Mus musculus: one gene and its partner. The protein of the gene in region 2 binds, or shares a complex with, the protein of the main gene of each other region. Links are inferred from orthologs where the notes say so. Each region holds a gene or a part of one and is shown on either strand. Other genes may lie near its edges.

What was found.
Region 1: Cul3 (region 2) and Kbtbd4 share a complex: the UniProt entries of both Homo sapiens proteins name them as parts of the BCR(KBTBD4) E3 ubiquitin ligase complex. The link is inferred for Mus musculus from reciprocal best matches to the Homo sapiens genes CUL3 and KBTBD4.

Annotation. Positions count from the first base shown.
Region 1 is NC_000068.7:90,903,590-90,907,539, forward strand, and holds the start of Kbtbd4 (kelch repeat and BTB domain-containing protein 4), read left to right. Parts: upstream 1-1,150; 5' UTR 1,151-1,204; coding exon of another isoform or gene 1,205-1,223; 5' UTR 1,224-1,320; intron 1,321-1,412; exon of another isoform or gene 1,413-1,566; intron 1,567-2,076; coding exon of another isoform or gene 2,077-2,105; coding exon 2,106-2,694; intron 2,695-3,950. Other genes in the region: Ndufs3 (NADH dehydrogenase [ubiquinone] iron-sulfur protein 3, mitochondrial precursor), read right to left, coding at 834-899, 995-1,058. UniProt on the Homo sapiens protein: Substrate-specific adapter of a BCR (BTB-CUL3-RBX1) E3 ubiquitin ligase complex which targets CoREST corepressor complex components RCOR1, KDM1A/LSD1 and HDAC2 for proteasomal degradation.
Region 2 is NC_000067.6:80,337,891-80,341,967, forward strand, and holds the start of Cul3 (cullin-3), read right to left. Parts: upstream 2,801-4,077; 5' UTR 2,422-2,800; coding exon 2,356-2,421; intron 1-2,355. UniProt on the Homo sapiens protein: Core component of multiple cullin-RING-based BCR (BTB-CUL3-RBX1) E3 ubiquitin-protein ligase complexes which mediate the ubiquitination and subsequent proteasomal degradation of target proteins.

The DNA.
Region 1 (3,950 bases), on a different chromosome or scaffold from region 2:
ACTGTTCCACAGCTGTTCCTCACTTCCTGTACTCATGGTAACAATGCAACAGTGGCAGCTCCTCTCTCAGACTCAGAGCTCTTTAAGGATGGAAACCAGACTTCTGTTTCTCTTTCCCTTCTTGGTACTTGTTTATACCAAGTTCTTAATCAGAGAACTTCAGGGCTGAAGGACCCTGAAAGATTACCTCATTGCCCATACTCTATCCCCTGTCACTTTGTGTAATAGATGTCCTGGAATGAAAAGAAGCTTTCTATTTCCCAGTGTGATTCTGTTGACTGAACATAAAATCACCACAGGGTCATTCAAGTACTTGAGCACCCACACATCACAGAATCAAGGATTAAGTATTTTCTGCACTTGGAAACAGACCTGCTTTGTCGTTCACTGGAACTGTGACTGAATAATTTAATTATCTGGACCGCTTCATGATCTACATCTATATGGACAGTAAAACGTTATGCGTCTCATCAGGCTCTTATGAAGTCCAAGGTGCCTAGTAAATACTAAATTGATGTGAGCTACAATTATTTTGGACTTTGAGTCTCAAAAGTTTTTGTTACCTGCGCTCAAAGACAATTTCATCGGAGGACAAAAAAAAAAATCAAATCCTGATAACGAGCAAAAGGCGATCAAGATCAGAAGGGAACAAATATCTAGGGCACAGGAAGTGCTCGATTCTAACAGCAAAGTGGAGACCATAGCAATCTCCAAGGACAAGCAGAGATTTGCCAGGAGGGAAGGACATTCCAAGGCAAGGACAAACATCTGACAGAAACAACGAAAGGCCCCAGCTAACGTTGGGGGAAAAAGCGCCATCCGCACATACTCACGGCGCTTGTCAGCCGCCGCGCTCTCCCTTCTTACGTGCTGCCACAGCACGGAGGGTCGCCCAGCCCCTGCACAGGGAGAGAAAAGGCACAAAGGCGCGGGTGAGACTCGGGGAGGTCTCCGTGCTGCCCGTGGTCTCAACCTGCTGCTGTTCCTTGCTCACCCCTGCCTACGGAAGCGGCCCCCAAGAGCCCACGACACCAGACCCTGGCTGCAGCCGCCGCCATGTTCCTTAGTGTGCCGACTAAGTAGCCGGAGAACACACGCAGGCCACGGAGCCCCAAGGGCACGGACCGGAAGTGGAAATGTGCAGTGACTCTTCTTCCGGGCGGACGCGGGGCGGGAAGCAGAGGTTCCGGATCTGAGCCCTGGCATGAAAGGAGGTATCGCAGGTAAGAAAGACCCGCAGGTGGGGAAACCGTGAGGTGTACGTAGCCCTATCTCGGTACAGCGGAGGCCGAAGAGAAGAAGACGCAACGAACCGCACCGGTGAGAGAAAGGGAAAGGGTGGGCGTTCTGGGTTCTAAGTTCTACACCGCGCCGGCTCTTGAGCTAAGCTTTTTTAATGGGGGGCGGGGTGGGGGGGGGAGACGATGGACGGTTTCCTTGGAGACCGTTTCCTAGGCGACTCCAGGTGGCACGGTCAGATTGCACAGGGTTATGGACTTCCTTGTGCCCCCGGCCGGGGACGGCTGGGCTCTCAAGGGCTTCTTTAAGAACTCACTGGAGCGAGAGGTAAGTAAGAAACAGCAGCTTAGAAAAGAGTAAAAGTGGAAGTCCAGGCCCAAGCCTCAGTATTGGGGGGTCTGCACTCTTATGTCCAGGCAAAGAGGGAATGTAACAACAATACCTGGATGTCTTAGTTTGGCCTAATTATGCTTCTCCAGAGTCTCATTAGTTGTATATCCAAATTATTTGGTTTTAAGATCATAGGCTTCCTCCTTCGTCTTTTTCATGAGCTAACCTAAGTCCCAAGTCTTTTGTTACATCACGATCAGGAATATCCAATTTTACCTCAAGGAAAAACAACAGAGTTGGAACTTTTAATTGAATTCATTGGAGGAGAGGCCCCACTGCAGGAAAACTGGAGGAATGGCATAGGCCACATTGGCAAGACCAGGAATAAGGCCATTCTGGACCCACTTTGCTCCAGTGTCTCCCTTCTCCCTGTCTTGACTTGGACAGTTGGATTCATGGACTGTGTCTGTGAATTACCCAAATACTTAGGGTGATATTGCTTTGCAGATAGTTGGCAAAGAGAGAAGTTGGCTACCATGGAGTCACCAGAGGAGCCTGGAGCATCCATGGATGAAAACTACTTTGTGAACTATACTTTCAAAGACCGGTCTCACTCAGGCCGAGTGGCTCAGGGCATCATGAAACTGTGTTTAGAGGAGGAGCTCTTTGCTGATGTCACCATTTCAGTGGAAGGCCGAGAGTTTCAGCTGCACCGGCTGGTCCTGTCAGCTCAGAGCTGCTTCTTCCGATCCATGTTCACATCCAACCTGAAGGAGGCTCACAACCGGGTGATTGTGCTGCAGGATGTCAGCGAGTCTGTTTTCCAGCTCCTAGTTGACTATATATACCATGGGACTGTGAAACTTCGAGCTGATGAGCTGCAGGAAATTTACGAGGTGTCAGACATGTATCAGCTGACATCTCTCTTTGAGGAGTGTTCTCGGTTTCTGGCACGCACGGTACAGGTGGGCAACTGCCTGCAGGTGATGTGGCTTGCAGATAGACACAGTGACCCCGAGCTCTACACTGCTGCCAAGCACTGTGCCAAGACCCACCTGGCCCAGCTGCAGAGCACAGAGGAGTTCCTCCACTTGCCCCACCATCTACTCACTGATATCATCTCAGGTAAGCTCACGAAAGGGCTTACCACACCTAACTGGGCAAGAGTCATGTTCAGCAGATGGTCTGGCTCAGGAGAACCCCAACTTTATGTGACTAACTGTTGTTAGTTTATATTATAATTCCCTTTCTGGTAGATTTTAGATTGAGGTTGATGTTCGGTGTTGAGAGTCAGCATAGCTACTGTCAGACAGTACAGTACAGTAACTAAAGAATAAAAAGCTGCATCACTTTTCCACAAAAGGAAATAAGAAGTGCCTGATGTTTTCATCTGCCCTGTATCTTGATGGTATGCAGGACTTAAATGAATTGATGAAGATGAATCAGTATATCTAAAATAGCTAGGGATGGTGGCCCATGCCTTCAATCCCAGCATGTGGGAGACAGAGGCAGAAGCAAGCAGATCTCTTGTGAGTTCTAGGACAGCCAGGTCTACAGAATGAGTTCTAGGACAGCCAGAGATACACAGAAAACCCTGTCTCAAAAAAAAAAAAAAAAAAAAAACCCAAACCAAACCAAAAAAAAAAATCTAAAATAGGAAACATTTGGGTAATAGCCATAGGTAACCAGTGAAGTGGAACTATACTTTAGATGTGTACTCTATAGCCTGAAAGGTGACTACGATGGCATATTGTGCAATCCACTCTGCTTTTAAAAAGCAAGGCAGGGCTAGTAGTATGACTCAGTGATGTAGTGTTTCTATGGTGTATATGAGTTTCTGGGTTTGGTCCCAGCACTGCAAAATGGTAGTGCTGGGGCAATTTCAAGTTAACGTCATATTTATGTGTGCATAAAGATACATATAATGGTGGTCTAATAAAATGGTTCAAGTCCTTTTTTCTTTTTTTGAGACAGTGTCTCTTTATATAGCCCTGACTGCATGTAACTCACTATGTAAACCAGGCTGGCCTTAAACTCAGAGATAAGCCTACCTCCACCTCCGCCTCCCAAATGCTAGGATTAAAGGCATGCTCTACTACAGCCAGCTGTGGTGCAAGTCTTAAGAGCCCCTTTAAGATTGCCATTCATGAGACTGGATAGATTGCTTAGTGGTTAAAACCACTTGTTGCTCTTACAATTAAACTACCAAGGACCATGGTTTAATTCCCACCAGGAACGCCAGTTACAGGGCATCTGATGATGGATACCAAGCATACATGTGGTATACAGATATATGCAGACAAAACACAACACACACAAAATATTTTTTTAAAATCACTAAAAACGCAGTAATATTGCCACTATGTTCTTCCTTTGGCTCT
Region 2 (4,077 bases):
TAAAAATGTAAGAGAACCTGATTTGGTAGAACTTTAATAAAGTACTTTTTTGATAAAGTACTCATCTATATATGAAATATATTCTGTAAGTTAACTTACCACTATTGTACAATGAAAAATCAAACAAGTCTAAACTTACTTCATTCCTTTTATACATCCATTTTATAAAAAACCTGAAATGAGCAACTGCCATTACTTATAGCTAACTACATATCCACATAGTATAACACATAACAGTTGTAGGAATACACACATGTAATAAACATAAATGGTATTTTTTGTGTATGAAATACTATGTATTTTAACTTCTAAGAATCCAAGTGGGTTGTACTTATATACAAGACATCTAATCTGAATGAAAGCAATTCTGACAGCCTAATGGACTCACTTCCCAGAACTCAATAAAATATCACTGGAGCATTATTTAGCCTCAACAATAGCCAATTATTTCAATGGGAACAACTTATGGTTATTTACTTATGAACTGGAAAACAAACAAAAAACAAAACAAAAATCTCAGTTTTAGTACTAGCCTATCACACACTAATACCATCTTCATTCAGCTAATGGTACAAAATTCTCTTCCTGCTTCTAATCCCTAATGCTAGCTCCAGAAACCACTGATCTTTTCCTTTTTCACATCTACTGCTAAGTCCTAAAGCTCTAGGAATAAACAGTGCCTGCATACAGTACTCAGTATATGGGGAGAGGAAAACAGGTTCAAGTAGAGAAACCTAGAGGTCAAAGAGCTGCAAACACAGATAAAGGTAGAACCGGTTACTCTGAAAAATATTAACTGGTCAAATATAAGCTCTTTCACATTTTACTAAACAACAAAGAAACAACAGAACCAAGAGTAAATATTTCCTAGAAAAATCAGTGTCATAGTTGATTAAAAAAAAATTAAAACATAAAAAACAACCATGTCTGAATTCGCTTAAAAAAAAAGAGGGAAGGATGTGGATTTGACAATCACTTGGGTGGTTGATTAGGTAGGGAAATTATTCAAGTTCATAAACCTGGCTCACTGTCCAATTACAAAGGAAAACATAATAGTTACCTTTATTGGCACTGTGTTTCTAGCATTTCTCACTTTCTGGTGTAATCTCTTATTTACTTAAAAAAATCGTTCATAATGCAATTATTATTAAAGTATCTCGTCCTCCTGATTATACCCTACATGTTAACATAGAGCCCATTTATTTACATAAAGGTGCAAGTTTTTACATGCTGACAATATGTCCCTTGCAAAGTCACAATTCTGCATCGCTTGTACACTTCTTTGGGATGAGGAATTCAGAGGCCCTCAAGTTCTCCAAGGCAAAGTTACTTAACTCAGACAATACTATCGTGGTCTTTCATTCCTCACAGCAAAGGGTACTTCAGGAAAAGCCTGTTCAAAAAGTGATGACAAAGGCCCCCTTCCCCTCCCACACGACAGAATGCTTATGAGTCTTAGAAGGGAAAAACAACCTCCCTCCGTTTTACTTTTACAATTCTGCTCCACTGATGGCTTGTCTATTTGACATTTACCTGTCACTGTAGCGACACGAGCAAGTACGTCCAGTTTGTTACAACAGGACATTTTAATTGCCTGCCACTGGCTATCTGATCGAGGCATGACATCCAAAGTTACATACTACTCCATCTACTAAACACCGCAAGCCTATGACTCAACGTAACGCCAAGAGGAAAAGTTTCTGAAGAGCAAATGTTTGCTGTCGCTAAAAACGTACAAGGTAAAACAAGTCTGAGTGGCAACTATTCTTGGGGACCTCCTTGACTAAGACACGGAAAAGCTGTGCCTGGCCCTCCAAGAAGTGGAGGGGCGATTCTGAACCGGAGTGGGTCAAGCGCTTAGGAAGCTTTGCAGGATCAAGGATGCTATAAATACTATGCTCCTAGTGTTTTGCCAGTGGGCATTTCTAGCATCTCTGTCAGTGAGTGGGGCAGTGGGATGGCAAGACCGCCCCTGACTACGGAGTCGAGCAGAGGTGGACAGTCCTCCCCACCGCCGTAAAAGCCGAGCCGGCTCCTTCTGGAAACCGCACGCTAAAAGTTACACACACGCCCCACGCGACGGGTGCGGCGGCCACAGCGCGCATCCCCTCAGGGCCGCGGCCCCCGAGGCCCGAGCGAAGGAGGCCCCGGGGCGGCCGGGGCGCGGGGAACGGCCCCGGAGGTGGCCGACCCGGCCCCGCGCCGCCCCGTTGCCGGGAAGCCTCGCGCTCCGCCACCGGCGGCGGCCGTGGGGGGAGGGGAGGCCGGCTGCGGCCTGTTGGCGGAGTTCAGCCCCGGCCTCGCGTGCGGCTCCGGGCCGCGGCTCCCGGTCCCGGGCGCCGAGGACCGACTCACCGGAAAGGCCCGGATCCGCATCTTGGTGTCCTTCCGGCTGCCCGTGCCTTTGCTCAGATTCGACATGGTGCTCGGCCCCTCCCCGGCGGCGGCGCTGACGGCGGCGGCGGCTGCGGCTCGCACTCGGAGGCGCCGGTGTCACATTGAAGGCGGGAGGGCAGCCGCGGGGCTCGGCGGGGGGCGGCGGCGCGGCCCCCGGGCTGGGCTGGGCGGCGGGCCGGCCCCTGGGCGGCCGCGGCGGCGGGGGCGGCGGCTCGGGCTCGGGCGGCTCGGGCTCGGCCGGGGGCTGCGCTGGCGCGGCGGCTCCGCGGGCTTCCCCTCGCGCCGGGCTCGGCTCCCTTTATCGCGCTCCTCCGCGATGGCGGCGGCGGCGGCGACGGACAAACATCTCACTGCGCAGGCCGAACGTCCTCCTCCTCCTTCTCCTCCTCCGCCTCAGCGAGACGAGATCCGGCCCAGAGGGTGGAGGGGGGAGGAGGGAGGGAGGAGAGCGGAGAGTGGAGAGATGGGGGAGGGGGCGGGAGGACGGGAGGGGAGGCGGGAGGCCGCGGCGGGCACGTCAGATCTCGCGAGATCGGGGCGGGCGCGCGGTCGGGGGCGGGGTGGGGCGAAGCCCGGGAAGGGAGGGCGCAGGGAGAAGTGGGGTCTGAACGTGGTGGGGAGGGGGGAGAGGGGTGGATTAAGGAATGGGCGTAGTCAGCGCCCTGGGGGGCGGGGCCTGGTGCAGGAGACGTAGGCTGCGTTTTCAAAAGAGGAGCGTCGGAGACCCCAGTAGGCTGAGGTGGCTTCTGATTGGTGGAGCGCGAAGGTGGTGGGTCACGTGGGTAGTGGGCGGGGGAATTTCCGGAAGGGGGAGAGGGGAGTGTTGTGTTGTGGGCTGGCGGGGCTGAGCTTGGCCCTAGTAGGTAGGTAGTCCTGGGAAAGGGCGTGGGGTGCGAGGAGGAAGGTTCTACGTCCTAGAACTGCTCCTGTGTTTTTCTAGGGCACGTGGCCTAGGGATGGGTACTTGAGCCCAGCCAGAAACTTGAAAGCAGGGTTTGTGCTTGAGTTACCTGCAGACTGCGAAACCAGTGTCCTGTTTTTAGCTAGGTGTTGCAGCGCCTCAGAATCAACCCGGCCTTCTTACACTGTACAAGCTCCTGGGTTTGTTCATTAGTTGATACCTTCTGGAGGATCCAGAGCCCACTAATGTTAAAACCCGGTTTTTGTTTGTGCCGAAATAAAACAAATGCCTAATATACTACAATATTGTGTTAAACATACGACCATTTCCAAGAACAGTATAGATCATTAAAACCAAAAGCACTGTGAAATTAAGTTTGCTGTAGGTTTGGAGACATTTTTCTATTTGTTCGGGGACTCTTATCCTATAGTCGAAATGTCCAATTCGACTGCTTTTGGCTTCTAATTCAGTATGAATCCTACATCTACCTTGCATACTTGCTCATTTGCTGTTTCCAACGCCCCTGGGAAATCTGAGATTCTCCCAGTTTTGGATCTTCCCATTTTGAGTGAACTGTTGTTGGGATTAGCACCTACAATTGAAATTGGTGGCCCATGACCTTAATCCCAGCATTTGGGAAGCAGAGGCAGGTGGATTTCTGAGTTCGAGGCCAGCCTGGTCTACAGAGTGAGTTCCAGGACAGCCAGGGCTACACAGAGAAACCCTGTCTTGAACACCCTTCACACACCCCCGCCCTCCAAAAGGGAAAACTTGATAAA